Sus scrofa: one gene and its partners. The protein of the gene in region 3 purifies or fractionates together with the protein of the main gene of each other region. This does not show direct contact. Links are inferred from orthologs where the notes say so. Each region holds a gene or a part of one and is shown on either strand. Other genes may lie near its edges. The genes, in order: EIF4G3, EIF4E and EIF4A1.

What was found.
Region 1: the proteins of EIF4A1 (region 3) and EIF4G3 purify together in Homo sapiens (co-immunoprecipitation; 6 studies listed by BioGRID and IntAct, counting the BioPlex papers as one, with this or other methods). This does not show direct contact. The link is inferred for Sus scrofa from reciprocal best matches to the Homo sapiens genes EIF4A1 and EIF4G3.
Region 2: the proteins of EIF4A1 (region 3) and EIF4E purify together in Homo sapiens (affinity purification with mass spectrometry; 8 studies listed by BioGRID and IntAct, counting the BioPlex papers as one, with this or other methods). This does not show direct contact. The link is inferred for Sus scrofa from reciprocal best matches to the Homo sapiens genes EIF4A1 and EIF4E.

Annotation. Positions count from the first base shown.
Region 1 is NC_010448.4:79,069,649-79,080,483, forward strand, and holds part of EIF4G3 (eukaryotic translation initiation factor 4 gamma 3), read right to left. Parts: intron 6,219-10,835; coding exon 6,072-6,218; intron 5,650-6,071; coding exon 5,413-5,649; intron 3,740-5,412; coding exon 3,635-3,739; intron 1,122-3,634; coding exon 989-1,121; intron 1-988. UniProt on the Homo sapiens protein: Component of the protein complex eIF4F, which is involved in the recognition of the mRNA cap, ATP-dependent unwinding of 5'-terminal secondary structure and recruitment of mRNA to the ribosome. Functional homolog of EIF4G1.
Region 2 is NC_010450.4:121,406,239-121,417,173, reverse strand, and holds the start of EIF4E (eukaryotic translation initiation factor 4E), read right to left. Parts: upstream 7,189-10,935; 5' UTR 7,083-7,188; coding exon 6,891-7,082; intron 1-6,890. UniProt on the Homo sapiens protein: Acts in the cytoplasm to initiate and regulate protein synthesis and is required in the nucleus for export of a subset of mRNAs from the nucleus to the cytoplasm which promotes processes such as RNA capping, processing and splicing.
Region 3 is NC_010454.4:52,867,567-52,877,859, reverse strand, and holds EIF4A1 (eukaryotic initiation factor 4A-I), read right to left. Parts: upstream 9,382-10,293; 5' UTR 9,368-9,381; coding exon 9,345-9,367; intron 9,173-9,344; exon of another isoform or gene 9,085-9,172; intron 7,978-9,084; coding exon 7,929-7,977; intron 7,660-7,928; coding exon 7,527-7,659; intron 7,087-7,526; coding exon 6,947-7,086; intron 6,064-6,946; coding exon 5,895-6,063; intron 5,571-5,894; coding exon 5,461-5,570; intron 5,309-5,460; coding exon 5,165-5,308; intron 5,088-5,164; coding exon 4,950-5,087; intron 4,815-4,949; coding exon 4,725-4,814; intron 4,460-4,724; coding exon 4,380-4,459; intron 4,281-4,379; coding exon 4,136-4,280; 3' UTR 3,924-4,135; downstream 1-3,923. UniProt on the Homo sapiens protein: ATP-dependent RNA helicase which is a subunit of the eIF4F complex involved in cap recognition and is required for mRNA binding to ribosome.

The DNA of each region.
Region 1 (10,835 bases), on a different chromosome or scaffold from region 3:
GCTACCGGAGTATGACCCTCATCACTTAACTGCACGACAGACAAAACAAGCATTCCCATCTGGACATCATCTCGACATAAACAGGCTTAAAAGAAAAATAATCATTTCCTCTCTGATAAAGGCTTCCTCTTTCAACATTCCTAAACTTAGTCAACACACTTTCCATTTTCTCAGGTGTAAAGTATCTTCTATTTCATCTTTCCCGTTTTTTTCTTCCTTTTTATTCTTCTATGACTAAATCTTACCTCCTTCCGCACAGGATCTGAGGCAACAGCAACAGCAACATTTCTGAGTTCAGTTTACCCCTTGGTTCATCATGTGAAGAGCAACAGACTGGTTTTATGTACACACCTCTAGCATAACATTATTCCTTTGCTCAGAAACATAAAATGGCTCTTTAATGGCAAATCAAGCCAAAAGTTTCTAAGCTGGTTCCATTCTTTCAGAAAAAACATTTTTCCATTCCTTATGAACACTTAAATTTTACTCTAATCAGGCTTATTTATTATTTTAATTCCATGACTAGAATTTTTCCTTCCCTTCCAAATACCAATACCTGGATCAACTGCCCCTTCCTCAAATAAGAATTTCGTCCAGCTTTCTATCTCTCGTCTTCTGAAATTTAACGGCCTTAGTGGAGAATACATTTCATAATTCATCTTCCAGTTGCTTGAAACGTTCCCTCTATTAGTTCTGACTTGTCAGATAAACCGGAAGCTGTTAGAGGGAAGGAACTACATCTTCTACTTCTTTTTCTCTCTCTCACCAATACTGAGTATACAGAAAATGCTCAACAAAGTCTTGTTGATTACTGCCTTTGATGTGGTCAAAGAAATCATGTTTAGTTCCTATACTCTCTGCTTTTACTCCTAACCAGTCTCCAGGTGAAGCTGCTTCACTTACCAACTGCCTCTCTATTCTGCGGGTTCAATCTATCTGTCTCTTAAACTCCCAAGTTCTCTAATGCCTGGTGGACTCCATCCCTCACCTGGTCTTCTCTTCTCTTTGGTCATGAGCTGCTGGACCTTCCTTTGCTCTTCTTGTTCTTCTATTTTAGCCTCTTTGTGAATCTGTTCAATAGTTTTAGGCCCTTGATCTGCTCTTCGAGATACCCAATTACACTACAAAAGGAAAAAATAAGATTATCAGCCAGATAACTAAGAAGAAAAAGGAAACATTTGAAAACCTATCTTATACTTTCCACTGCTGGAAAAGTATAAGATACATACAAAATCTGGTACTATGGCAGTTTTTCATCCGTCTTACACATTGGCACATGGGGTGCAGTCTGGGTGTTAGAGATGAAGAATTCAATTTTTCTCAATCAACCTGAGCTACTGTATACTGAGTCTTCCAACAGCTGATGGATAACAACACAGAGTGAGGGACTTGACCCAACTGGGTGTGTGCGTATTAAAATCATTTTGCACTTTTGAAAGGAGTAGAGGGAAGAGGAAACAAGAAAGATCAGGGGAGCTCCCGTCATGGCTCAGCAGAAACTAATCTGACCTGAACCATGAGGTTGCGGGTTCGATCCCTGGCCTCGCTCAGTGGGTTAAGGATCTGGTATTGCTGTCAGCTGTTGTTTGGTCACAGATGTGGCTCGGATCTGGTATTGCTGTGGCTGTGGCACAGGCTGGTGGTTACAGCTCCAATTCGACCCCTAGCCTGGGAATCTACATATGCTTCGGGTGAGGGCCTAGGCCCACCCCCCAAAAAAGATCAGGATTCCTCGGCCTTGACTTAGTCTGGTGTAAGGCCACTCAGTTCACAGCAAACTCCACTGCAGTTCTAAATCAAGGATGACTAGCACTTTTTGTCCTCCTATATGAAGGTTCTGGTTTCTATACAGAGTGCCACACCCTCTACCCTTTAGTCATCCTCTCTATTGAGGACAAAACAGGCTGTCTCCTTATAGTTATACTTCTCCCTTTCCTTCCCTACCCAGCTGTAATCTCCACATCTGATATAAATACAAGTGGGTGAAGGCATGGGTGGTGGTGGAGAAGTTTTTAATATTTATTAATATTAGCTTGAGGCAAGAATAGCAGATAGCTTTAAATCAGCATTTAAATTCAGATCAGCTGGCAGTGGTGGTATTAAGAAGAAGGATCCTGAGTCACACCTCAGCTTAGCAATATAAAGAACCATCATCATACTGTCTGTCTGGGTGCAGGGCAGGGAATAGGTGGGACCTAATTTCACTTTCTCTAGCTGAGGGTCAGCTGCAGCATTCCTATGGCAGTTAAAACAGGAAAAGGGAAAAGAGGTGGTAGTGGTATATAAACCGTACCTGGTATGAGAAATGAGAAAAAAAAAAAAAAAAAGGCAGTAGAACAAGAGGGTATACAAGAAAAACATTAAAAAAGAAAACATCTTTTGAGTTGGGTACTTTACATAATTATCTCACTGAATCTTTATATCATATCTCCAGAGTAAGCAACATCCCCATTTTATTATTTTTTTGTCTTTTGTCTTTTTAGGGCCACACCCGCGGCATATGGAGGTTCCCAGGCTAGGGGTCTAATCAGAGCTGTTGCCGCTGGCCTACACCAGAGCCACAGCAACACCAGAGCCAAGCCACGTCTGTGACCTATACCACAGCTCACAGCAACACCCAATCCTTAACCCACTGAGCGAGGCCAGGGATCGAACCCGAAACCTCATGGGTCCTAGTCGGATTCGTTTCTGCTGCGCCAAGACAGGAACAACAACACCCCCTTTTTAAAGACTAAAATGTAAGGCTCAGGGAAGTTAAATGTATTCATTGTGAAGATGAGGCTCCTTGATTAGCTCTTTAAGACTAATTTTATTGACCACAGTTTGAATTCAGAATGGCTGATTTCAAAACTGCAATGTGGTTTGATAATCAGAATAAAGAGGAGAAACAAGGAGTTCCCGTCGTGGCGCAGTGGTTAACGAATCCGACTAGGAACCATGAGGTTGCGGGTTTGGTCCCTGCCCTTGCTCAGTGGGTTAATGATCCGGCGTTGCCGTGAGCTGTGGTGTAGGTTGCAGACGCGGCTCAGATCCCGCGTTGCTGTGGCTCTGGCATAGGCCGGTGGCTACAGCTCCAATTAGACCCCTAGCCCAGGAACCTCCATATGCTGCGGGAACGGCCCAAGAAATAGCAAAAAGACAAAAAAAACAAAAACAAAAAAACAAAAGGAGAAACAAGTAACAGACAGGTAGGTATGTATGCCCTTGGTCCTCTCACACAGCTCTCTCATGAAAATTTGCCATCTCAAGTTCTGAGAGTCATGCAGCAAAAGCATTAAGTTATCACACATGTGTGCAGGCAGTTTCCATGGTGGCTCAGGGGTAAGGAATACAACTAGCACCAATGATGACGTGAGTTCTACCCCTGGCCTCACTCAGTGGGTTAAGGATCTGGCATTACTGTGAGCTGTGGTGTAGGTTGCAGATGCAGCTGGGATCCCATGTTGCTGTGACTGTGGCTGTGGTTGTGGCTGGTAGCTGTAGCTCTGATTCAACCCCTAGCCGGGGAATTTCCACGTGCCGCATGTACGGTCCTAAAGAAAAAAAAAGTTATTATACATGTAATTACTAGGACATTCCTCATAGCCAACTTATGAAAAAGAGACGAGAGTGGTAGGCTTATTTTTCTACTTACCAGCCTTAGGTCTATCACATCCTGAAGCATGAATCGAATCCTAGATGAGGTTTTTCTTTCTTTCACAATTTTCTCCATCTGATTAAAATATTGGTCCATACGTGGCTGAAAGAGCAAAATCATTAGTATTCCTGGCTGAGGAATTCGAATGTAGATTTACCATGTAGAATATTATTTTATTACTATTTTTGCTTTTTAGGGCCATACCTGAGGCATATGGCAATTCCCAGGCTAAGGGCTGAATCAGAGTTGCAGCTGCCAGCCTATGCCACAGCCACAGCAATGCCAGATCTGAGCCGTGTCTACAACCCACACCACAGCTCACAGCAATGCTAGATCCTTAACCCACTGAACAAGGCCAGGGAATGAACCTGCATCTTCATGGATGCTAGTCAGGTTTGTTTCCACTGAGCTACAAATTCCTCATGCAGAACTTTAAAAGGACCTAGGAGTACAACTTAGAGTCAAAAGGCAACGTGATGGAATTTTTAATTGAACGTGGCATCCAAAATAAAGGCTACATATTCTAGGCACCTGGCCATGGGCATGTGACTAATTCTAGGTCCAACAGAATATAAATGGAAATGTCATACTGTACCTCCCTGGAATCTTAAGAGAGGGGTGACTATGTCCTTTGCCCCTTTCCAACATTCTCTACTGTGAGATGAGGAAGGACAAGGGCTACACCTTAGGGATGACTGAATTTAAGCTGGAGGAACTGATATTTAGCCATCAGACCAGCCTCAGACTTATCTGTGAAATTCATTTACGAGAGTGAAAAATAAACCTCAATCTTATATAAAACATTGATATTTGTGGTTTTCTTTCACAGCCAAACATAATCCTAGTGGATTTTGATGTTAGGAAGCATTTGTGACATTTCTTTGATGGATTTCTAACTTCCCTACCCCTTATTTGGGGAGTACCATGTTATGTTTGAATTATATTATTTTTAATGATTTCTTTTTTTTGGCTGTGGCAGGTGGAAGTTCCCAGGCCAGGAATCACACCCAAGCCATAGCAGTGACCCAATCTGATCTAGTGACAATGCCAGCTTCCCAACGCACTGCGCCATAAGAGAACTCTAGTGATTTATTATAGTTTTATACGTCTGTCATTAACTAGAGCATAAACTTAAGAAGGCTACCTGGGAGTTCCTGTTGTGGCTCAGTGGTAATGAATGTGACTAGTACCCATGAGGATGCATGTTCGACCCCTGGCCTCAATCGGTGGGTTAAGGATCTGGCATTGCCATGAGCTGTGGTGTAGGTTACAGATGAAGCTTGGATCCCATGTTGCTGTGGCTGTGCTGTAGGCTGACAGCTACAGCTCCGAATGGACCCTTAGCCTGGGAACTTCCATATACTTCAGATGCGGCCCCAAACAGACCAAAAAAAAAAAAGCTACTGGGTCTTCTTCATTTCTTTCTCATTCTCGGTCCTGGCCCTTAGTAGCTTTTCTCTCCAGAATTTCTGCCAACTTACTCTACCTATACATACAAAATGATATGTGAGATAGTCATGCAGAAAAAGGACAAGGGACAGATACTCTGAACCATTTGTGAACTGGCTTTTACACAATTTGGGGCCCTCTTCACGTCTGACTTTACTGAAGATATGGTAGAAGCATGATGGCCCAACACTGACAGTGAGAAGGATGAAAGAAGACAAACAGGAGGCTGAGACGGCGGGGGAAATAGGGACACTGCTGCTGACAGTCTCCTTCTTCTGCAACTGACAGAGTCCCTGCTGGAGGTTTCTGGGATTTGGGGTTTTCACCTTGGCTTTCTCAAAGTCCAGGTCTTTGCCAATTGTGGTGAGTAGGCGACACAGGCACTCGAGGGATTCTTCATCATGGTTCTTTAGCAGCTTTACCACACAGTCATGCATGATGGCTTCAGTCAGCATTTTCAGTTTGAAGAGCTCCCCAATAAACTTGATGTTACCAATGGATCTCCGCCGGGCTTTATCCTTAGCTTCTTCCAGTTCATCATGAAGCCTTGTCCTCTCCTCTGGCTGTTGCATAAGGAAGAGTAACAGAATCTTGATGATAAAAACAGTATGCAAAATAAAGGCTAAAAACACGCATAGAGAGTCATGGTCTCTACCTTTCCAGGCATCAGGGACACACTCTGAGATTATGACAGCAGCTACAGGCCTACTCAGAAAATGAAATACACCCAAAAGTCTGCACCTATTTCAGGCGATTTCTCGAATTCAGTGACCTCTCTGAAATCTAGGTTCTGAATCCCTAACTTAAAAGGTTGAGTTGCTCTAACATGTGGCACTAAAAGGAACAAAGCTGCCTCTAAACATCAATAAAGTTATTTCCACATGAAGAAAAGGCCACAGGCACCTGCTGAAGTAGTAAGAAGATGTTGTAAGAAGCTTTGTGAAAAATCTATTTAATAACACTGTCTTTCTGTGAAAATACTTACAGCACTGGCAGCCTCGAGTTCTTTCTGCTTCTTTTCGAAGACATCATCATCAGCTTTATCTTTTTCAAACTCCTTCTGGCAACGGTTCAGTAGCAGCTTCCGGAAATTCACTGTGTTACCAGGCTTGTCTGCCATGGGTACTTTCAGCTGCATCCAGATGGGAAAACGCAAAAGCAGCAAGATTACTTAAAGAAATTCAATGATTTTCTCAAAATACCTATTTTCTTTATTGTGCAAAATAATGCTGACTGAACTACAGGTAAGCACTCTGTAAGAGGTATGAAATATAGCTTCAGGAATTTCATGTTTCAATGGTTAAGATGTTTTAAGTTTTATACAGAAAAGATAAACGTTGTATAAATGTACTGTATCCTCTACAGCTGATTATGCCTCTAGATGCCTTTGAATGTAATATTATTACAACTATGATTTGTACTCTCTAGACTTTTTTAAAACTGAAGGGTTATTACTTTTATTTTTCTTACTACCAGTGTAGGCACTTTGGTTTAAAGGAATAAATGAAAATAAAATAAAGTATGGGGGAATTTCATGACCCTAGGAAAACTGTTGGAGGTGAGATCTTTATTGTGGAAAAAAGCACAAAGGGGAGGAGTTCCTGTCATAGCTCAGTGGTTAACGAACCCAACTAGTACCTATGCAGACGCAGGTTTGATCCCTGGCCTCGCTCAGTGAGTTAAGGATCTGGTGTTGCCGTGAGCTGTGGTGTAGGTCACAGACACAGCTTGGATCCGGCGTTGCTATGGCTGTGGCGTAGGCTGGTGGCTGCAGCTCCAATTGGACCCCTAGTCTGGGAGCCTCCATGTGCCATGGATATGTCCCTAAAAAGACAAAGAAAAGAAAAAAAAAAAGCACAAGGGGGGGACACATTTGAGGCTTTTTCCAGACATCTTTTCCCAAGGGAGATGGCATAACACTGTAATGCTAGTATTTACCTTGACTATAAATATACTATGTTTATTGATTATTTCTTCTGTGCCAAAAGAAAACACTACTTCTCTAATAGTTCAGTCTAATAAATGCCCACTTTAGAAACATTCTTTTGATAAACAGAAAGACTCAGAATGGAGGATGGCCACCTATAGGCAAGATGCTTATGATTTTTCCATTCAAATCCAGTAATAATTGCTTTCTAGTAACTCCCAACAGCTCATATCTTCAAGATTACTTATAACCAAACACAGAGATGTTCTTATTTAGAATATAAAGACAGTGGACTGGAGCAGTGATTGGCTAAAATATTCTATTTTACAGACAAGGTCCCTTGAGTACCATTTTGAACAGCCACCGTATATAAGATGGCAAAATATTTTTCTAGAATCACAAAGGAGGTCCCCAAGTTCTGAAATGCACATCCCTGCCCTAGATTTAATGGAAGAAATTGGTAAAAAAAAAAAAAAAAAGGGATGCACTGTATTTATACTCATAAAGGGGTTAATGTTATCAACCAGAATGGACTTTGACAGCTGCTGATTGAGACTGAGTGGCTGGAGAAACTTCTTCAGAACTGAAGACTATGATACGATAGGTCTATGTGCAAGAACTGATGGCACACCCTCCAACATGTTCCCAATGAGACAGGAAAGACCACTCAACCAGTCTAGTTCTTATCAACCAAGGGCTAAGTGTTTCATTAGGCTATGTTGAAAGAGCTGGGTTCAAGATCAATATTTCCTTTCTTGATTTTAAACAAAAGCAACTCTAACCTAAGCTTGTTGCACCATCCAAAACAAGGGAGAGACAATCACAGTGTCTAACCTAGATTGCAGCTTTAAGCATCCAATGAAATAGGTTTGCATTCTATAAGAGGTGTATGCATGTTTCAATGGGTAAGGTGTTTTAAGTTTTGTATAGAAAAGATACATATCCCTGTCATATAAATGTATTGTATCCTCTACAGGGCTGGTTGTGCCTCTAGATGACTTTTGAAAAAACACAGTTTACCTGAGATATTTGGAACACTGAAATTGAAAGAGCACTGGAATTTTGAGCCATAAAATCAGGGTTTGAATCCCAGCCCCATAACTAATCAATATGTAAATGTGAGCAAGTTACCTCATTAAGCCTTAGTCCCTACATCTGCAAAAGGAGGCATTCCAATGATTACAGATTGAGGGCCATTATAAAGTAGCTGTTGAAACAGGAGCTTTGGGAGATAGTCACAATCACAGTTCTGCCATGTGACTTTCGCCAAATTACTTAGCTTTACCAAACCTTTTCTTTCTAAAATGAGGATAACATCTATCTCTTAGGACTGTGTGAAGGATTAACTGAGATAGTCTATGTAAAACAAATAATAGTGGCCAGCACATAGTGAAGAGTCCAATAAATGAATGGAGCTATATTTCACATGTTCATTAGTAAAGATTAAGAGAAACCGTGGGAGTTCCCGTCATGGCGCTGTGGTTAACAAATCTGACTAGGGACCATGAGGCTGTGGGTTTGATCCCTGGCCTTGCTCAGTGGGTTAACGATCTGGCGTTGCTGTGAGCTGTGGTGTCAACTGTAGACATGGCTCGGATCCCGCATTGCTGTGGCTCTGGCGTAGGCCAGTGGCTACAACTCCAATTAGACCCCTAGCCTGGGAACCTCCATGTGCTGTGAGAGCGGCCCAAGAAAATGGCAAAAAGACAAAAAAAAAAAAAAAAAAGAGAGAGAGAGAGAGAGAAACCTATATTATAATAACGCAGACATCAAAGAAAGTATTTAAGTTAGTTCACAGAGCAATTAGGAAGAGAACCACAAAAGGCAAGAATACTGAGTATCTGCTGTGCAAAAATGATGGGCATGGGACATTTCATATGTATAGGACATAAGGAACATGTGATTGTACATATGCTTTTTAGGTATATTCACATGAAACAAATAAAACCAAACAACCAGCTGAATGGCCACAAATCTGCAAGTACATGTGTCTCTAAAGGAACGAATGCTTAGCTAAACCACCCCCTAAAGACCTGTTTTGGAACGTGATCTTCACGTCTTCTGGGGATGGGTAAGAGGGCTGCGGAAATATGAAAATAGGCTAGGGAGAATATATCCTCTGAGAACTCCTTCCTAGGAGATGTTAAATTCTACAGGAGTATGACATTATTAAGTCAGCATGTGTTGTCAGCTGAACAATGACTGGTCAGAAACGCAGTAAAATTGGTTACTTAGAACAGAACATGAAGAGTGGGTGTCTTAGATGGGTGGGCTTGCTATAACAAAATAAGACTGGTGGCTTAAATAACAGACATTTATTTCTCACAGTTCTAGAGGTTGGAAGTCTAAGGTCGATGTGCCAGATGGGGTTCTTGGAGAAGAACTCTCCTCCTGGTTTGCAGACATTTGTCTTCTCCTCTATCCGCATATGGCAGAAAGGAAGCTCTAAGGACTCTTCCTCTTCTCATAAAGGCACTAATTCCACCACTGGGGTCCCACCCTTATGACCTTATCTAAAGCTAATTACTCCCCAAGCCTCCATTTTGTAACACCATCACACTGAGGGTTAGAGCTTCAACCTATGAATTTAGGGGGAGACAAATACTCAGTCCATAACAGTAAACAAGGTAGATGCCTGCAGATGTGATCATGGCTAATAGCAAAAAGGAAAGGTGATACGCAACAGTGAGAAAAAGATCTCTCTAGACAACTATAATTTTCATCTATCAGCAGTCTGTGATTGAAACTAAGCTATATATATGTTTCAAATGGGTTTTTTGGGAGATAACTTGTCAGGAAGTGAGGGAGTCAAGGGGGAATATTTTATAGCTAAGACTGCTTAGCAAGCTAGATTTGTTGGAGAGCAACCACCTTTTCTTTTTTACACGACAGTAAACACTGCGTGACATTACATTACACTTTAAACTAACAGTGTTCCTCTCACACTGTGGTGAGGTCAGGCAGCAATCTTGATATGAATGTTGTCAGCATCAAGTAGTCATTTTCTTAAAGCAGCAGGACTTGCACTGCTAATATATTTGTTAGTGTTGAGGGTAGATACTTCTTATTCCTAAAATGACCAAACTCCCTGAGAACCATCAAGGGCTGTCAGCTGTATATAACAGTAGTCAAATAGGAGACAGAAACAGAAGGACAAGCCCTGGCCTTGCTTGGCCTGTTTAGGACTTTCAGTGCTGTCCCAGAACATAAAGGTCCATAACCTGTGGACCAGTAGCCATTTTGCTCAAAGAATGTTCTGGTCTGAGGTAAAGTATTTGGAATGACTACTATACTATTAACAAGTGAGGCCCTCAAATTAAAATGTGAAGTGAACAGCAATAAATTAATTGACTGACTGTAACTCATGGATCCATGGTGACATATTACCATTTACCGGTGGTTATATTCTGACCCTAGTAAATCCCCACCTAAAACTGAACATAACATAGTCTGTATGTACTAACATGTCTATCAAAATGCAGCTCTATCAGATACATGTGAAAAGGTATACGGCGCTGAGGGATGCCCACAAGATTGAAAAGGAGGTGGTCAAGTTAAAAAAGGGTAAGTCATTTCTCGTCGATCTTTTCTTCAAAACATTTTTCATCTTTCATCAGTGTGGCACATCCCTCCTCCTCCAGCTGATCCAGCCACTTGCTGTATTTGCCTAAGGCCAGCTTCTCATGTCTATAATTCCAGGCTTTATTTCTGAAGAGATTTAACTGTGTCACCCTTGTTCTCTTAGTGTCTCTTCTTGGAATTAGTCCTATCATTCTTTTTACATCTTGCTTTAAAGCACTTAAAAAGTGACAAGATTCAAAG
Region 2 (10,935 bases), on a different chromosome or scaffold from region 3:
ACTACCATTTGATCCAGCGATCCCAATCCTGGGCATCGATCCAGAAAAAAACCATGACTTGAAAAGATGCATGTACTCCAATGTTCACTACAGCACTATATACAATAGCCAAGACATGGAAACCACCTAAATGTCCATTGACAGAGGAGTGAATAAAGAAGATGTACACAATAGAATATTATTCAGCCATTAAAAAGAAAGAAGTAACGGCATTTTTAGCAACATGGATGAACCTAGAAATTATCATGAGAAGTGAAGTCAGTGAGACAGTGAGACACCAACATCATATGATATTACTTACATGTGGAATCTAAAAAAAGGACACAATGAACTTCTTTGCATAATATATACTGACTCACAAACTTTGAAAAATTTATGGTTTCCAAAGGAGACAGGTAGGGGGGTGGTGTGATGGGCTGGGGTTTGGGGATGGAAATGCTGTAAAATCGGGTCGTGATGATCATTATAAAACTATAAATGTAATAAAATTTATTGAGTAAAAAAAGAAACACTACAGATTTTTACAGTAAGAGGAGGAGTGGAAAGAATATCTACAAGTTATGGGTCATAAGCTTTGCATTTCTTACTAGTGGCAAAGAAATGATCTAAAGTCAGCTATGTGAAATCTCCCTGCAAAAAGAGAAAAAAAAAAAGTGAGTACACCTATGCATAGATACACTTGCATGCAACACATTCATGGAATATTAACTTTACCTAGTTCTTCATAGCTTACAAACTGTCACCTCTTTTTTTTTTTTTTTTTTTTTTTTTTGTCTTTTTGCCATTTCTTGGGCTGCTCCCACGGCATATGGAGGTTCCCAGGCTAGGGGTCTAATTGGAGCTGTAGCCACCAGCCTACGCCAGGGCCACAGCCACGTGGGATCCGAGCCGAGTCTTTGACCCACGCCACAGCTCACGGCAACACTGGATCGCTAACCCACTGAGCAAGGCCAGGGATTGAACCCAAAACCTCATGGTTCCTAGTCAGATTCGTTAACCACTGAGCCACGATGGGAACTCCACAAACTGTCATCTCTGAATGCTGCATTTGAAAATCAAAGTCAGAGTTCCTGTCATGGCTCAGCGGTTAATGAACCCAACCAGTATCCATGAGGACTCGAGTCTGATACCTGGGCTCACTCAATGGATTAAGGATCCTGCACTGCCGTGAGCCATGGTGTAGGTCGCAGACATGGCTCAGATCCTGCATTGCTGTGGCTCTGGTGTAGGCTGGCAGCTACAGCTCTGATTCCACTCCTAGCCTGGGAACCTCCATATGCATCAGGTGCAGCCCTAAAAGAGACTAAAAAAAAAAAGAAAATCAAAGTTACTATGAGATAACTTCTTATTCCCATTTTTCAGCTACACTTAGAAACTTTGGTCTAGAAGGTCACAAAGACATTAAAATTAAGATTAGGACTCATACTCATTTCCTTCTCAAAAAATTCTCACAAAGTGAGGCGTTCCCACTTGTGGTGCACTGGGTTAAGAATCTAACTGCAAAACCTCAGGTCACTTTGGAGGTGAGGGTTCAATTCCTGGACCAGCACAGTGAGTTCAAGGATCCAGCATTGCCACAGCTGCAGCACAGGTTGCAACTGTGGCTTGGAGTCAATCCCTGGCCTGGGGAACTTCCATATGCATTGGGAGTAGCATTAAAAAACAAAACAAAAAAACAAAAACCAGACTCAATAGAGCAATGCACAGGAGCAAGAAGAGCAAGGAAATTCCTATTAGTAGTAGAGAAGGAAAAGAAGAAAAAACTATTGCTAGTACAACTATTTCACAGGTTCCTTGTTCCAATAAAGACTGCTAGTACTTCTACTATATTCTTAAACTTATACAAATTATTCTATTTCATTTTTAGAATAATTTTTTAAAACTCTGCATAGAATTTTCTGCCCAAATTGGCCAGTTAACATTTTATTCTCTCCAACTTTGGTGTGTAAATTACATCTGTTTCTAATTTAGACCTAAGCCTAATAATTAGGCATATTAATTCAAAGCATAAAGTGAAGTGAAATTTAAAATATAAACATCAGAACCTAACTAATTTGTTTGACTTACATATGAACTTTGATATACTGGGTTCTTTCATAATGCAAAAATATGCATATTAATTTGCAAGGTCTGCTTGTTGGCCAAAACACTGCATTATATAACATTTGTCAAATATGTATTTAAGACTTGTTTACTTTTTTTTCTTTCTTTGTCTTTTTGCCTTTTCTAGGGCCGCTTCCGTGGCATATGGAGGTTCCCAGGCTGGGGGTCAAATCGGAGCTGTAGCCGCCGGCCTACACCAGAGCCACAGCCACACGGGATCCGAGCTGAGTCTGCAACCTACACCACAGCTCACAGCGCCACTAGATCCTTAACCCACTGAGCAAGGCCAGGGATCGAACCAGCAACCTCATGGTTCCTAGTCGGATTCATGCACCAGTGTGCCATGACGGGAACTACAAGACTTATTTAATAAACTCTTTGCAATACAAAATATGTTCCTAAAGGATAAAAGGGGAAACATTAGATCAGCTGACTGTACAATTCCACTTATGAAACTAATGTACAGTTTAAAAAATTCGAGACATACAATATAAAAACAAGTAGAAACTTCAGGGTTTTTTTGTTTTGTTTTGTTTTGCTTTTTAGGGCCACACTCGCAGCATATTGAAGTTCCCAGGCTAGGGGTCAAATGGGAGCTACAGCTGCCAGCCTACCCCACAGCCACAGTAATGAGGGCTCTGAGCCACATGTGACCTATACCATAGCTCCCAGCAACGGTGGATCCCCAACACACTAAAGCCAGGAATTGAACTTGCATCCTCAGGGATACTATGTGGATTTGTTTCTGTTGTGCCACAGCATGAACACCTACTCCCTAAGTTTAACTAAAGAAACCATACATAATCTTTTACCTTTAAAAGAACTACAAGTCAAAAAAAAAAAAAAAAAAAAAAAAGCCCAATAATGAAGAATGCAACATAAAGATAAAAGCTATTAAAAACCATGACCCAAAGGAGGCAAGTTGGCCTGCCATCTTCACCAACTAATATTAAGTCTAACTTTGATCTACCCACAAAATCTAATTTTAACCTAACCACATTCAAATGCCAAAAGAATAACAGGAGAATATTGTTTATCCCAATGTTCAAAATTTTGACATATTATGGGAGTCCCCTTCGTGGCTCAGCAGTTAACGAGCCCCACCCACTAGGATCCATGAGAATGCAGGTTTGACCCCTGGCCCGGCTCAGGGGGTTAAGGATTTGGCATTGCCATGAGCTGTGGTGTAGGTTGCAGATGCGGCTCAGATCCCAAATTGCTATGGCTGTGGTGTAGGCCATCAACTATAGCTCTGATTCAACCTCTAGCCTGGGAACTTCCATATGCTGCAGGTGAGGTCCTAAAAGAGAGGAAAAAAAAAAAAAAAAAAAAACTTGCCATATTACCTGTTTAGAAGTACAGCACTTCCTTTAAATTGCCGATCAAACTTCTCAACACATTTACTATCTGCAAACCACTTCTTGTGTGTGTGTGTTGCTTTTTTAAAAATTGACGTAGGTGATTTACAGAGTTCCCATTGTGGCTCAGTGGTTAACAAACCCAACTAGGATCCATGAGGATTCGGGTTCAATCCCTAACTTCACTCAGTGGTTAAGGATCTGGTGCTGCCGTGAGCTGTGGTGTAGGTTGCAGACGTGGCTCGGGTGCTGCTGTGGCTGTGGAGTAGGCCGGTGGCTACAGCTCTGTCTGATTCCATCCATAGCCTGGCAACCTTTATATGCTGCAAGTGAGGCCCTTTAAAAAAAAAAAAAAATTTTTTTTTTGAAAGTAGTCGAGGAGTTCCCATCATGGCGCTGTGGAAACAAATTCAACTAGGAAGCATGAGGTTGTGGATTCAACCCCTGGCCTTGCTCAGTGGGTTAAGGATACAGTGTTGCCGCGAGCTTGGACAGACAAGCTTGGATCTGGCATTGCTGTGGCTGTAACTCTGATTAGACCCCTAGCCTAGGAACCTTCATATGCTGTGAGTGCAGCCCTAAAAAGCAAAAAAAAAGAAAAGCAAAAAAAAAAAAGGAGTTGATTTACAATGCTGTATTAGTTTCAGGTGTATAACAAAGCAATTCAGTTTTATATATGTGTGCATTTATTACTTTCCAGATTCTTTCTCGTTACAGGCTATTACAAGATATTGAGTATAGTTCTCTGTGCTACAGAGCAGTTCCTCGTTGTTTATCTATTTTATATATAGTAGTGTTACCTGCTAATCCCAAACTCCTAATTTACCCCTCCTCCCTTCCTTCCCCCTTTGGTAATCCAAATTTGTTTTCTATGTCTATGAGTTGATTACTATTTCATAAATAAATTCATTTGTATCATTTTTTTACATTTCATGTAAGCCATTTAACTGATCTCACAGACACTTGAGAATCACACAATATAAGTTGAAAATGATATTTAACATAATTTCCATCGATAAAAATTCCCTGAATGCCTACAAAGGTGGGACAAGCAGGAAAAAACCTGACTCTTAGGTGCTTATGATTATGTCCAGCAAAAAGTAAGGAAAGTCACAAGCTAACTCCATTAGCAATGAACAAATATGTTTTCTGTAGACTTCTACAGGGATACCGATTGCAACAAACACTAATCAGCTGCTTGAAAAAAAAAAATCTCAGTTGTTTTGTGGTGCAGGGGGTTAAGGATCCAGTGCTGTGGCCTGGTTTGCTGCCATGGCTCAGATTTGATCCCTGGCCCAGGAGATTCCACATGCTGTAGGCGCAGTCAAAATAAGTAAATAAATTAAATTAAACAAAACTCACTATTTAAAACCGTCCAAAAATAGAATTCTAAAGGACTAACCTGTGGACAAGGATGCATTAAAAAGTACTAAAATTTTGCATTTTCACTAAAAATGAACACTTAAAATTATTTTACAAGAATCCTAAAAATACTATAGTTTCAAACTGGCTTTCTATTTTATTCAAACACTAGGTTTTTAAGTTCCTCACTCCCCACATTTGAATTCAGTATTCAAATCTCCCAGGGGTCATTACTAGAAGGACTACTATACTGTATCATTCACAAGATCACTGGAAATTAAGCTCCTAGAGGTTTACATTGAACAAGGTATATAATCACATTTTGTATAACTTTGTATCCTAAAGAACACTTGGTACAAGGTTCTAAACATACAGGGGGCCATAAATATTTACTGACTCAAAACAGTTCTTCAACACTTTGTAGTTCTGTTCTCTGCTGTTGAACCAAAACAGCATAGCTTTGCAAAACCCAAATTACCTAAATGTTACTGAAACTGCACAGAATACATTATTGTTTTATTGTTTAGAGGTTTTAGCCTTGCCCCTATTACCAGCTGCAATGCTTTTTATTGAAGCTGGTACAATAGGTAGGAGAGTTCGTCCAGTTAGAAATAGATGTCACAACTCATTAAAAGGGACTTAACTAAAATTTTACAAATATATCTTTTATCTATTTAACATTAATGTTCTAAAAACCAGTTAACTGTACCAGCAACTTAAGAGTTTTGTAGTCCATCTAATTTTCAGGAATATAAATAAAAATCGGTACCAATAAAAATACAAGGGAGTTCCCACTTGTGACAAAGTAGGTTAAGAATCCCAATGCAGTGGCTGGGATTGCTGCGGAGATGCAGGTTCAATGCCCAGCCCGAAACAGTGGGTTAAAGGATCCCGGTTAAAGGATCCAGCGTAGGCGTAGCCGCAACTGCATCTTAGGTCCAGCTGTGGCTCGGATTCAACCCCTGGCCTGGGAACTTCCATATGCCTCGAGTGCGGCCATACATACAATTTTCAAAAATAAATAAATAAACAAATGAATAAATAATAAATATAAGTACAAATGACCAAGCAGAAAAACTGCCTTAAATTCGGGCAACAAGGAAAGGATAATTAACATCAATGTAACTGAAAAATAAGCATTTTTGTATCCTATAGATCTTTTTATAACTAGTTTTTTTTTTTAATTATAAAAGTCTTCAAAGAAAAGTCAAAGCAAATTGGGACGCCATCATCAAAATCACGAACTACCATTAAAGATTCACAAAATTATCGGGCAACCAAGGTCTAGTACAGTTCCAGAGTATCAAACGTTTTCTGGCTACACACCTCTAAAACAGAATCACTTGTATGTGACATTCCTAAAACGGCAACACAGGCCTAGAAGTTTCCGTGAGTCAGTGCCGGCAAACCCAAACTATGACAAACATACTCTCTCCTTTGGGCGGTAACTATCAACTTTGTGCTCTGGGATCAGCCTGCTTAAAATAAGTTTAAGATGGTGCCTGAACTGGGAAGAAAGCCAGGAGAACGGATAAAGAAAAAAAATCAAACAGAAACCTAACTTTAAAAGTTAAGTTAAACAGTGTCTGAGAACTCTTCCAGAGGATAAAGCCGCGGAAGAACAGATGGATCTACACCCATTCGCACTCTCTGAGGCGTGCGCACAGCGCGGAAAGGATGAATGAATGGAAGACAGGCGCGTGTGAAATGCCGCAGGTCCGGCCGGCAAGCCGACCAGCCCCAGCAGCTATCAGCAGGCCTCGCTCCTCCCCCTTCCCTCCTCCATGACAGCCCAGGCTCAAGCATGGAGGGGCGAGGACAATGTGATCCCCCTTCCAACCACCAGCACCCTTCACCCTACTCTCAGAGCTTTACCGCGCCACCAAGGGTTCTCCTCCCCACCCCGAAACCTTTCTCGCCTCCCGGGTCGCCAACCCCGACAACTCTCGGACATGCTGGAGTAACATGCGCTCGCCCCTCTCGGCTCCCCTCGGCGAGGAAGAACCTTCTCCGCGCGTGCCGCGGCACCACTCCCGCCCAACCCACCCCGTGGCACCGCGCGCTCACCGGCTCCCTGGCCCACCGGTCTAAGAAATCCCGGCGCGCGCCCGGAACCCAAGCCCCTGAGCCAGAGCTCGGGAGGGAGAGAGGGAAAGGCTGCTCCGAGGCTCCCTCCTCCATCTCATTCCAGGCCGGCTCGCCGCCCACCGTCCCTGCGAATCCTGGCGCTCGTTCGGAGCCGGGCCCGCGCCTTCCCATCGCAAAGGCACGATTCCCACACACCTCGCCCAGAGGCCGGATCACGCACCACCCTTATAGACACCTTGCGGCTCCACAGGGGGAGCCGCGCCGCCCCTCCCCCACATCTCTCCCCTAGCTCGCGGGCCCCCACCAGAACGTGTGCTCTACACGCCGTGGCGGCCAGCCTCCGGGGCGCCCCCAATTGTCCGCAGGGAGGTCAGGCCAAAGAAGAGGGGGAGGGGGCGGCAAGGGGTAGCGTGCGCGCTGGGAACGCCGTCCCGCGGGATCCTTCAGTCCGAAAGGAGACGGAGCGCGGGGACCGGTGGGGGTGGGGGCCAAAGGCAATACTCACCGGTTCCACAGTCGCCATCTTAGATCGATCTGATCGCACAACCGCTCCTGAAGGGAGGGGGTGAGAGGAAAAAAATGAGATTCAAACCGGATTGGCCGGCTACTGTTCACGTGACGGACGTGTCCGTTTGGCCCTGGCGGCGCCTGCGCAAGACTGCAGCTGCGTGTTTAACAAGAGGCTTCTGGGAAGTGGAGTCGCTCTCTCGGTGGCTCGCTCTCCCTGTCTCTTTTTTTTAGGCTAGGAAGTTTAAAAAAAAAAAAAAAAAAAAGACTGGTCACGTGGCCGGTGGGTACCGTGCGCGGTTCTCGGCGCAGCGGACACTCGCGTGCTGGAGGGTGGCTTTCAGTCCTCTGCTCTTCCGCCTGGGTAGTTGCTGTCGCACTCACTGCCAGGCATGCCTCCTGTGCCCTTTGTCGCCCTGTCCTCCCATCTTCCTCGGAAGGTTGGGAACTGTAGGCTCAACACGCACAATAAGGCTTCATTTGCTTAGTTGAGGTCCTAGGACAAGTTGCCTGTGTGTTTATTTAATTTTCTTTTGACTTCCCACCATTTTCTCTTAGTTCCAAAAAGAGGCGGCGAGGGAAAATCGTTAAGCAATCAACCCTCCCCCGTCCCCCGGCTCCGCTAACGCTGGTGGTCACTCATTGCCATCACTGCGAAAGGGAGTGGCGGAACCGCCCACAGTAACCACTTGCCACAGTTCGGGGGAGGGGGAGTGCACCCGACAGCTTTTCGTGTTCCAACTCCTGAGATTAAAATCTCAGGGCTAAATCTTGCGTGGAAGTAAAAATTATCTGAAGTTCTGTCCTCTCGATTGCACTGTTCTGCTTCGACGTGAAGGGAAATAGCCCAAGTCCAGGTGCCAGCCAGGGAAGCCACTCCGGCCCCCGCTGACTAAGCCCTGGACTGACCGTCAGGAGTCGTTAGGCTGGGTCAACTATGACTCTTGACGTTGACTCATTCTCCTTAGGCAAGTGACTTAATCATTCAGTGCCTCAGCTTTTTCATTTATGAACCACAGATGGTAATACACTTACCTCACAAGGGTATGCTGTGGTAATGATTGTAACCAGCTTTGAAAATGCATCAGACTCTATAAATGCTTCATAATAAGCAACCTCGTGCCTTCGTAAGGATCAGCTGCTTCCCTTACTGTTCTTTAAACAATGTTTTAAATTTTTCTTTTGCTTATGTTGTTACATTATCATGTACACCAATGCAATTTTAAAAGTTTCGAGACAATGTTTTTATAACTAGCTACCCTCCATAGAGGCTTTAATGTTTAGGAAAATATTGTTATAATCACTGGCAATTAGAGGTTTATCCCCAGAGTGACATCCGACGTTTTCTTCCCCGCTAAGATACTGTGCTGTCATTTCTTTCTTTTTTTCTTTTTTTTGCTTGTGCTGTCATTTCTGAAGACAGTCTTACTCTGCACAGTCTGGTTATCCATATAAAAAAACAGAAGAAATCTAGCAGAGTGCTACTGCAAGATTTTAATGAGGAAGATATTATATCATTACTATTTCCCATGCTTCTTAAGAATGTTAACACCAGAAAAATCAGTATAATCAGGCTACCTGTGCCTGCCTGCTTTAGTGCTGCTGATGTCCAGAGCTGTGTCATACCTATTATTGAGTACATAATGGTTGCTTGAGTTGACTAACACATAATTGAGACTGTAATAAGAGCTCAAAACCATTTCCTGCTCATATGCTTTGGTTTACCTGGATGTCAGAGATGATTAATGAAAGCTTTGGTCCAGTCAGCTTAGCTCTAGTAGGTTTAAAGTAATAGAGTTCTAAAAAATAAAATAAAACAAATTGGATAAAGAGGTTTCTATTTGCAGAGACTATGTGCTCTTAATTAAACTATCCAAAGTAATTATAGGCAATCCCAGTGATATCTTCTGTTAGTTAAAAGTAGTATCTGATGGGAGTTCCTGTTGTGGCGCAGTGGAAGTGAAACCGACTAGGAACCATGAGGTTGTCAGTTCCATCCCTGGCCCCACTCAGTGGGTTAAGGATCTGGCCGTGCTGTGAGCTGTGGTGTAGGTTGCAGACTCGGCTTGGATCTGATGTTGCTATGGCTGTGGTGTAAGCCGGCAGCTGTAGCTCCAGGTGGACCCCTGGCCTGGGAATCTCCATATGCTGTGGGTGCCATCCTAAAAAAAAAAAAAGTAGTATCTCAATATCTTTGAGGAGATAATATAGATGTATTATTTTCCCAATGCTGCTAGATAACAGATTTAAAATTTAAAAACACTTCAATCTCTATATGGGACTGAAAACCACTGATATTCTCAAACTTTAATGATAGCTCCCATTTTATTAACTCTCTTGATCAAAACACTCTTCACTTTTGGTAATCATCCTAGTACTTCTATGGTGCATATATATGCACCTATTCTTCAGAGCTTAATTTCTCTCATTTTGTATGTATTTTGTTGCATGTGTTTTGTGGCATATTCATGTGTCCTTGCTTAACATCACTATTAGATTCCACCATGTCAAAGACTTGGTGATTAAGTTTTTAATCTATGTGTGTCTATGGTTTTGTTTTGGCCAATCTGAAATGTACAGAGAAGAAAATTTATACTATATTAATCTACAAATGTACATTTGTTACATTACTACCATATTTGTGTTTGCATTTAAAGAAAAGAGAATAAAAAGATTTTTTTAAGTGGGAAATGGTATTGAGATACTATTCTACTTGATCTCATTATCTAGTTAATACATAACTAATAGCCCAGTGTAATATCATGGTAACAATTATTTATAAGCCTAAATTATTGGTCATCATTTAAGAATGTAAAAATAGTCATTATCTTTTCTCTACATATTTTCCTGAGGCTGCTTTATTACTAGTCTATAGATTTTAACTCACGGTAAAAAGACGTTAAATAATGTAATAGAATGCATAATAAAAACATCACATCATTTTTATCATGTATTTTATTTAGGTTTTCTAGATAACCAAAGTCATTGTTTTGCTGGGCATTGTTCAACTATGGTTCAAACTAATTACATTTGCTATGATCAGTCGATCCCTCAAAAATATCACTGCTACCCTGTCTAGGATTTTTCTTTTCTTTCTTTCATTGGCTGTGTCCCCTGCCTAAGATTTTTTTTTAAACAGGCCTTGTAATTTTAGACATTCTGTTAATTTAGATGCCTCTATCAGTCTCTGACTAGTAGTAAGCAATCCTTTTTCTTAAAATGAATAGGCTTTGAGCATGATGACATGAAATTGTATAATAAATGATCCTTAATATTTAATGCTGCATATTAACTTTAGATATAATCTAAACTGCCTCTAGTTAACATTAACTTCTTATAAACCTTTTTCATTCTCTTTTAAACCTGGTTATACTTTATACTCTATTTTTTTAATTGTTACTGTTATTTTCTACAGTGATGTTCCTTTAAGAAAGCCCTAAAATGATGGCTTCTAACAGTATAAGTAATCTTTTCAATTACGATTATATAGGAGTTGCCTTGTGGCACAGTGGGTTAA
Region 3 (10,293 bases):
GCACCTCCACTGAGGACTTCAGGGTTGGCTTTGCAGGTTGCCCAGGCCGGAGGCATGTTGTTCCCAGGAGCATAGAGTCACTGTATGTGGAGGTCAGGGTGCCTGTTGCTCCCATGGTTGATGAAAACCCTTTACAGGTGAGACAAGAGCATCTCAGGTGTAGCAAGGGTTTATTCCGGGCTTCCCTAGCCTGTTACGAAGCCACCGGTGCAGCCTTTTGAAAGGAAATGAACCCAGCTGTGACCTTTCCCTCCTCACTCATTGCTGTTGTTGCCTGCTTCACCTTAATTGCATGTGATGAGGGTCGGGAAGAAGGCTGCTGGGCTGGGTGGCTCCACTGGATTGGAGGAGAGGGAACTGGTATAGCCAGGGGCCAGCCCCAGAAGAAAAGGAAGAAGGGAGCCAAGGCAGGTTTGACACTAGCTGTGCCAGGCTTTGGGGGGTGGACCCAGGAAGTCACTGGGTTACACGGTGGCATTTTCATCCCTCCTCACCAGTTGTTTCTGGCTCCCTGAGATCCAAGCATGGAAGGCACAGAAAGGCATGAGCCCAGAAACTCATGGCTTTTCATTCTGGCAGGAAGGACAAGGAAAACCAAGCATAGAGATTTGAGCAGGTTTACTATTCTCTCTCTGGAAGTAGGGGAAGGGAAATCAATCATATTTAATAAACATCTCTCCCGATTGCATTATCTCTACTTTTGTTCATCAAGACAGAGAAAGAAGAAACTTTGTCTTAGAGTCAGTTGAGTGGGGAGAAATAAGGGCACCCTCTGGTGCCCTGGGTGTTGGAACAGATGCTCACAGAGGCTGGTAGGCGGGTGGGCGTCTCCGGATGATGCAGAAGGTAACAAGCACCAGGATGAGGAGGCCAAGGAAAATCAGTCCAATGATGAGAGGCAGCAGGATGGTTTGGTCACTGGGACAAGAGAAACCTGGCAGAAAGAAAGGGCAAGTTGGGAGTGCCCGTCGTGGCTCAGCAGAAACAAATCTGAGTCATATCCATGAGGACGCAGGTTTGACCCCTGGCCTTGCTCAGTGGGTTAAGGATCCGGTGTTGCCGTGAGCTGTGATGTAGGTCGCAGACACGGCTCAGATCCCATGTGGCTGTGGCTGGCAGCTACAGCTCCAATTTGACCCCTAGCCCTGGAAGTTCCACATGCGGCAGGCGCGGCCCTAAAAAGACAAAAGAAAGGGCAGGTTGACATCACAATGGTGGTGGCTGGGACAGAGAGGAGGGAAGGAATGTGGGGGATGTTGGGAAGTGCGAGGTTGGTAAGAAGCTCACCTAGATGACTCCGAGCAGAAATAAAAGGGGAGAATGAATGGGCAGAGTCTAGAGAGGACAGGTGCCCCAGCTATGACAAGCTTGAGGGGGAGGAAGTTTGGGGATGCAAGAAGGAGATGATAGGCCTGGGTGGGGGATTTCAGTGCAGTGGGAGAATTCTGGGAGTCAAGGACTAGGTATTACTTGGTCCAAAGTTCCCTGTGGGGGGCAGCTGAGCAGCTTGTAGCTTCAGGGAGAGCAGGTCGAGGTGGAAAGCTGTTGAAAGAATGATGCTTGCGTTTCTGCAGCTGTAGCTTCGGCCCACAGGCGTTTGGAGATCTCGAAGGGATGAATTCTGAACTGAGAATGTCCACTCTAAAAGAAAGGGGAGGAGTTCCCGTTGTGGCACAGTGGTTAATGAATCCGACTAGGAACCATGAGGTTGCGGGTTTGATCCCTGGCCTTGCTCAGTGGGTTAAGGATCCGGCATTGCCGTGAGTTGTGGTGTAGGTCAAAGACGCAGCTTGGACCCCGCGTTGCTATGGCTCTGGCATAGGCCAGTGGCTACAGCTCCAATTCGACCCCTAACCTGGGAACCTTCATATGCCGCAGGTGTGGCCCTAGAAAAAGGCAAAAGACAAAAGGGGGGGGAGGGTCAGCTCCACGTCCATGTCCCCACAGCCCAGCTCAGGTCCCTTCAGGAGCCCAGACATCTGGTGCAAATGATGAGAAGGGGAAGGTAACTCACGCGCTGCCCGGGGGAAGGACACGTTGTACTCCACAGCCATGTAGTTCAGGTAGACAGTGCTCTCCTGTGGCTGCTGGGGAAGTGATCAGGAAGACTCAGGCAGCGGCAGATCCAGGTACACAGACTAAGGAGTGTGGCAAGGGGTTTGGAGGCATAGGGGGCTTGGAGGCCGAGAGCGAGGGATGAGGGTTGAGTACCTGCTTGAATCCAAAGGTGAGCTGTCCGTAGGGGAATGAGAGGCGCACGTGGGGATGGGCACCCTCACAGCCCCCCAGGGCCTTGGTTTTGTTGGGGTTCAGTACAGAGATGCCCCAGGCCTGCAGAAGTTAAAGATGAGAGGGTCACAAGACTGCACAGCTGCGCCAGTCAAGCTTCCTTCCTTGTTCCTTTGGTCTTCACGCTGGGTTTGGCCCCCTCTACTCCTCCCCTTCTGAACCAGGGCAGCAGGCTGCGTGCCCTTCCCCGCCTGTCCTCACCTCTCCTCCACCCTGGGTTGGGTACAGAACTCGAATCTGAATCTGGGCTTGGAGCTGGACGCAGGGCTGGGAGCCGTTCGTCCAAGTGTAGTCTCCTATGGCCTCCTGGGAGCCCGGGCTAGGACTTGGAGAGGGTGGAGGTGGCCCTGGGTGGGGGGATCTGGTGGAGGATCCTGGGCTGGTGGCAGTGCTGCTGCTTGTTGGATGAACTGTGGCATTTCCGTGACTGGTGGTGGTAGCAGGATTGTGAGTGACTGTTGTGGGCCCATGGCTGGTGGTGCCTGTGGTGGTGGTTCTTGGAGTGGTGGTTCTGTGGCTGGTGGTGCTTTCTGTAGCCGTAGGTGTCACCGTGAAGGATGGCAGCAGAGTGGCTGATTTTTTATGAGGAGAGTCGACCCCAGCTCCCTGGGCTTTCAGCAGAGGAAAGAACTGGTTGGCAACCCAGGGGCAGGCTTCTCCCTGGGCACCCCCCACCCCCAGCCGCCTTCGCCTTACCTGCGAGGAGTCCCAGCAGGGCCCCTAAGAAGAGCACAGCCAACGTCATGTCAGAACAGCCTGCACTCAGAATCCAGCTAAGTTCTGTGTGGGTCCCAGCTGCCTGCTCTCTCAATCCTAATCCCTCAGCCTTTTGGGAAAAGGAAATAAATCTGACTTCCTGTTAACTGGTAGCCCCGCCCCCAACTTGACTCAGGCACCTCAGCTCCAGCCACTAATCTCCTGAGTCATCAAATTTGTGTCACCTAGTGATTAGCCCTGGCATTTCCAAAGTGGGCACTGTGTTACGTGAGAAGGGAGTTTGGGGTAGTCGATCCTGGGAGACTCTTGTCCACCTCAGGAAAATATGCTCAGGGGTTGCAGGTGATCAAAGGACCAGAGCCTGCAGCCACAGCCCCCCACCCCCCAAGCTCAACGGGGTGTAAAGATCACAACTTTGATTTCCCCTTTCTCTGGGCTCAGATCACTTCCTCTTTGCCTAGAGACATGTGAGCTGCTTATGACTGTGCTGGCCCAGCCCCTTCCTAAGAGTCATGTTACCGGTTACCCAGTTCAGCAGGGGAGCAGAGCTGTACCTACCCAGTAGCGGGGTAGGGGAAGGAGAGGTAAGAAATGAGAAGCCAAAGCAGTTTCCAAGTTATTTTATTCAGAATTTTGTGTTTGTTTTCCTGCATCAATAAATACTATACAAAAACAATGTAAAAATGGCTACCATGTTCTTTCCCCTGCTCCCCCCCCACCTGGGGACAGTGCCCTGGGCCACTTAACTCGGGCTCTCCCTCCAGATTTGGTCCAGCAAATGAGGTGGAGGGGCATTACAGCCCCCACTGAATTATTTTCAGAATTCAGCTGGGGTGGGGAGAGCCTTGGGTTTGAAAGTTGACGAGGTTAGGGAAATGGATTAGTGTTTCTGGGAGAAGAGCCGGCGCCTGGGGCAAGAGCCTGCCCCAAAGAAAAGGGTGTCTAAAATGGTCATGGTTCCTTCTTTTGCCTCAAAAAGTGACATTTATTCAAAGAAAAAAAAAAAAAAAGAAAAAAATGACAAGATGTCCATCCCTTGGCTCCCTTCCCTCCCCCCTGCTGCTGTTCCTCAGCCCCCCTCAAGGACAGGTCGGATCCCTGGCTGGGGCTGGGAGAGCAGAGCAGCGCCTCAGATGAGGTCAGCAACATTGAGGGGCATCTCCTCGATGGAGGTGTTGTAGAAGGTCTCAATGTCCCGGAGAGTCCTCTTGTCTTCTTCTGTCACCATGTTAATAGCCACACCCTTACGGCCAAAACGTCCGCCACGACCGATCCTGGGAAACAAGTTAGAGTATGAGGAAGATGGGGAAGACCGGGGCGCTGCTGTGCAGGGAGGACTGGGCGGGGGGGGGCAGCCTGGCAGGTGTCTTTACCTGTGGATGTAGTTTTCCCTGTTGGTGGGAAGGTCATAGTTGATGACTAAGGAAACCTGCTGCACGTCGATGCCTCTGGCCTGTGTGGGAGAGAAGGCGGCTTCAGTGGGTGACTCCAGGGAGAGGGAGGAGTCTGTCCAGGAGAGGCGTGTGTGTGGGCAGCCCAAGGCAGGCAGAGGATGTTTACAGCCCCTCGCCGCCAGAGCCTCAGGCCTGCCAGATGTTATTCCAAGCTGCTACTTTCCAGAAGAGGGGCACAAGCAGGCCCCTTGGAGAGGGAATCACCTTGGATCCGCCCTTGGTCCCCAGTCTTCTCACACTCGCTTCTACTCAGCTTCTACTCACCAGCAGATCCGTGGTAATCAACACTCTGCTGGAGCCCGAGCGGAACTCCCTCATGATGACGTCGCGTTCTTTCTGGTCCATGTCCCCGTGCTACAACAGGAAACAGAAGGCGGCTGTTAGCAGGTAGGTGTGCTGGTTCAGCGAGAACTGGCTGGGGAAGTAGGCCTGTGACAGCCCCCCTCTTGCTGGGAAACCACGGCCGCAGCGGTGGCGGCGGGCGCTCACCATAGCAGAGACGGTGAAGTCTCGGGCGTGCATCTTCTCCGTGAGCCAGTCGACCTTCCTTCGGGTGTTGATGAAGATGACTGCCTGGGTGATGGTCAGGGTTTCGTACAAGTCACACAGGGTGTCCAGCTTCCACTCCTGGGGGTGGGGGAGAAATCAGTCAGGGGCTATCCCCCCGCCTTCCTGCCAGGCCCGCCTCCTGCACTGGGCCCCACCTCGCGTTCCACATTGATGTAGAATTGGCGAATACCCTCCAGGGTCAGCTCTTCCTTCTTGACAAGGATTCGAATTGGGTCCCGCATGAACTTCTTGGTCACTTCCAGCACATCAGAAGGCATTGTAGCTGACAGCAAAACCACCTAATGGGGACAACAGTCTCAGGGGAGGTAGCAGGTCCTCCAGAGCTTTATGGTTTGTCTGGCACTTTGTAATGGTCTCTCACCCCGAGAACACTACCATCCGTACAAAGGAATCACCACTCACACGAGCAAAACCCCAATGTTCTTCTCACCTGGGTGTTGCTATTGAGCTTTTGGAATATGTCATAGATCTGGTCCTTGAACCCTCGGCTTAACATCTCATCAGCTTCATCCAATACAAACATCTTGATGTATTTGGGAGCTAACAAAAGAAAAAAAAACACACACACACCAACAGGTATTTAAAAAAGGTAAGATATACTTTCACTTCTTCCCAGATAAAGAATAGGAGATAGGTGGTCTGCTCTCAGAATACAAAGATTGATCCTTTGCCTGTGAGCCCCTTGCAAGGCCAGACAACAGCCCTGAGAAGTAGAACACTACCTGGGCTGAGCTGACAGGGAAGCCAGGCTCAGATGACACGCATGGGGTTCATCACAGAGCAATGCTTAAAAAAAAAAAAAAAAAAACTGGGAAAACATGCTTAAGGAAGTGACCCAGAGACCTGGAAAATTGAGACACTCACACAAGTATCTCCTGTTAAGCATATCAAACACACGGCCTGGGGTACCCACGATGATGTGGGGAGCTTCCATCTGTAGCTTCTGCACCTCAGCACGCACATTGGTACCACCAATGCAGGCATGGCAGGAAGCACCCATGTAATCTCCTAATGCCATAACCACCTTCTGTATCTGAAAAGATAAAATGCTGTGTTAGCTATAGTCACCAGGCTCCATCTCATAAATGCTTATGTACTGGAGTTCCTGTCGTGCCTCAGTGATTAACAAATCTGGCTAGGAACCATAAGGTTGTGGGTTCGATCCCTGGCCCTGCTCAGTGGGTTAAGGATCCTGCATTGCCGTGGGCTGTGGTATAGGCAGCAGAGGCAGCTTGGATCCAATGTTACCATGGCTCTGGTGTAGGCCGACAGTTACAACTCCAATTGGAACCCTAGCCTGGGAACCTCCCCGTATGCCACAGGTGTGGCCCCAGGGGGGAAAAAATGCTTATGAATTTATTTTTCCCAACAACTCAAGCACTATTAAACACTCACTTCATAGGCAAGAAAACAGTCAATTTATGAGACAGGTGTCTCTGATCCTTTTCCTCTAAGACCCAGGAAAACAGTTCATTCCATGTGTCCTAGGCATGAAACAGCTCTGGCCACCAACCCAGGCATCAAGCTAGGATGAACAGAGGACTATATACACATCTGCTTTTCCCATGACTGATATAAGAACAACACCACCAATCAGGTGTCTCTTTGCCCATTGCCAGGGGGTTTTGGTCATAGAAGAGCCAAACTTGCCCAGCCAGTCACATTCCACCCAGCAGCCTTCACATCTGACTCAGGAAACGGGTGGAGTAAAGGATGCTTACTGTGCTTGGTTAAGGTTTATAATTAACCTAATAAATCCCAAAAGATCTACAAGTTATCAACTGACTTTGTTTCATCTCTTTCATTCTCTATACGTCAGTTCTTCCAAGGTGGTGGTAGTCGGGGCACATACTTCTGATTTTTGGGTTTTATTATTCATTTCTAAATGAGTCCTTTGGGGAGAGGTAAAATCTCACCTGCTGAGCCAACTCTCTAGTGGGTGCCAGGACCAAGGCCTGGGTGGCCTTTAGATCCAATTCAATCTGCTGCAGAATTGATATGGCGAAAGTGGCAGTTTTCCCAGTCCCAGATTGGGCTTGAGCGATCACATCATAACCTAAAGTGACAAAATGAGAGAGAAATTTAATGGCAGGAAATATTCTTTGGAATCATGGGACACTGAAAAATAACCCACAGAAGGGTCCGTATATGTGCCAAACAGTAAGTGCTTCACAGACTTGATACCACAACACAGTACCAAGGCAGACCTGGAAGCCAGGTGAAGGCAACAACTCATTTAGCATGGCACCCCAAAGCTGGGCTACAAATACAGGTGTAAAATTATAATCTGCCTAAAAACAAGAGCCTGACTTAAATGAAGCCAACAATCCATGTGTCCAGGGCATGAACCAGGCATAGGCACAAACCAAAAGCCAAGCTGGGATAAACAAGGAGTTGCTTTGTCCCTGGCTGATATGAGACAGGCACCACCAACCAGATGCCACTCTACCCAGGCCAGGGACAGCCCATACATTTTTTCTGGGGCAAAGACCTTACCCTTGATACAAGGAAGAATGGCTCGCTGCTGGATGGCAGAGGGCTTCTCAAAACCATAGGCATAGATGCCACGGAGGAGGGACTCCGAGAGGTTCATGTCATCAAAGCTGTCAACAATCTCATTCCAGTTACTCTGTAAGAAGTAAAAAAGAATTAACAGAAATGGGGCTGTGCTCTTGCACTGGAGCAAACAGGACCTTCTCTGCCTGCACCAAAGTTCCAGAACCCACCACCTTCTCCTCCCCAAGGAAGCCAGCTGGTTGGGTCTATGCGGCCTAGAAAACTACTCTGAAGGGACCAGTTACTTGTAAACAGTGAGGTTATATTATAAAGAGGAAAAAAAACATACTTTTGTTGTATATACTCTTACAAAGGATAACGGCGGTAGGGGTCCAACCTTACCTCGATGACGCCTTCGGGCTCCATCCCATCGGGGCCATTGTCTCTGGATCTATTGGTTTAAAATACAAGCACATAGAAATCCTGACCACCAGACTCTTCCTCCCAGCAAGCGGCTTTGCATGCTACCATCAGTCTTCACTCCCGATCCAAGCCCCATGAATTCCGGAAACACAAGAGCAGTTACTTTACAGCCGAGGCCTTTGCCTCATCTCTGGAACTGCTCAGGCCAAGCCGCCTCCCCACCCTGCCCTACAGAAGACCCGGAGACTGGAAGGAACGGCGCTGCGCTGCCCGGGGCGTAGAGGTGGTGCTGGCCGCCAGGCCCACGTGTCTTGGGCCGGGCCGCTCCAAGACCCAGCGCGTGCACCTCCCACTGTGGCCCCAGCGCGCCGGAAGTCCCGCCTTCCACCTCCCAGATGCGAGAGGAGGACATCCCCTTCCCCCCCACGTCATGCCGCCCGCGCCCTCCCCCACTCCCTCCAGCCCATCTCCCCGCCTCGCGGTGCCCGGATGTGGGAGGCCGCGGGCGGTGGCGGCCTCGCGCACAATGAGCCCCAGCCGAGCTAGCAAGGGGGGAGATTGCACAACACTTAAGAGCGAAGCCGAATGGGGGAGGGGAGCACCTCAGGCCGCCATGTGCTCGCCTCCTCGACCACCCGGCGGCGCACCCCTCCCCTCCGGGGAACAATCCACACCCCGCCCGCCCCCGTCGCGAAATGGCGTCGCCCTCCCATACCTCAGGCCGCTCACCCCCGAAGGAAAGTGGACCTGCCCATCCGCAGTTTGCCAATTGCCCGGCTTGTGCGGCAAAATGGACCCGCCCGCCCGGCGCCGGGTGGGCTCCCGGTGCCTCAAGCGGCCGCTCCTCGGGGTTAGGGTCGGTCCTGGCCGTCAAGAAAACCAGCACACTGAACGGCCGGCTTCTTCTCCCGCGACCCATAGCTTCACGCGACCAAGCGACTGAGGATCCAGGCACCCCCACCTTCGGCGAGTGGTACCGTCAGAATCCTCCGGAGTCCCGAGCGCGCGCGAACCCTCCCTCCCGCAGTGAGACAATCTGACCGGCGGCTCCGCGCCACGCACGGCCGCCTCTACCTTCCTTTCTCACAACAGGTCGCGACCTCGCCACCCCACTCAGCGACCAAGCTTCACGCACCACGTCGGTCGAGGCCTCCTAACGAAACTCGCTCGCTGGGTCCCGAAAGCCCGGCCGTCCTCGGCCTCTGCCTAGGCCCTGGCAGCGTCGGCCGTGGACCCGCCCCTAACTCCCCCCACCTCCCCGGACGGGTCCTCCCGGCTTGGTCTCCCCGCAACCCTGGGGGGGCCTAGGGCGGCGGGCCTCAGCTTCCCCACGCCGGGCCCTCGAAAAGGGCGGCAAGGTAAGCAGCCACAGTCTCTTGCAAGTGTCTTGCTTACCGGGAATCCTGACTCGCAGACATGATCCTTAGAAACTAGGGCGGAGTGCCCGCCTATCGACAACTTATAGAGCGCCCGACCCCGCCCCAGCCATCGCATTGGCTTGGCCGCCTCAGCTCCGCCTGCCGCCGCTCGGCAACTAGGCGTGACGTTAGTTCGTAGGCGCCCTGGCACGCGGCCACCATTGGATAACTTGAGCGCCCGTCAAGGTGAAGACCCGCCCCGCAGCCTCATTGGCTAGAGGGCCCGCCTTTCTCGCCGGTACGGAAGTGACATACTGGAGTCGGGCCTCGAGGCCTGGCAGCCATCTTGGGGCCCTGCACCCCTACACGTGCGGAGGCGAGAGTGCCTCAGTCATGTGGCCTACCAGGCCCTATCACGCAAGGGGGGCGAGGTTTCAGCCTCCAGGGACTTCCGGGCTCCCGGGACTACCACTACCGCTACCCTCTGTTACAGGTGTCCACCAGACCACGTTCAATTTTGTTCTCTCCTGCAGCAAAGATAAATCGGACACCAAGCCCGAGGTGTTCCAAGCGTACAGGGGGCTGAAGTCAGGATCCATTACCCAGCGGCTGGGACGGTTCCCCTGGCTGGAGGGAGGAGGGATGGAGTAATTGACTTGTGGGCTTAGGGGCTTTTGAGGTTGCTGTCAGGAATCCTGGCCGGCTCCCTTAAGTGTCCTGTTTCCCCAACTTTAGGACCCCTCAAGCGCCCTTATTTTTGAGGTTTACCTACTCTCCCCTCCTTCCAGCCCTGGCTCCGCTAGCTGGAGGATTCTTTTGAGGACGTGGCGTTGGCATTGTGTGAGCCAGGGATGGAAAACTGGCCCCTTAAGTCTCAAAACCCAAAAAGGGTAGCTAACAGCACTGGCTGGAGGAAAGGCTGAGAGCATATCCACTAGTTTTGCGGCCCCTAAAGGAAGACCACCACTATGTATCTCCAAAGGATC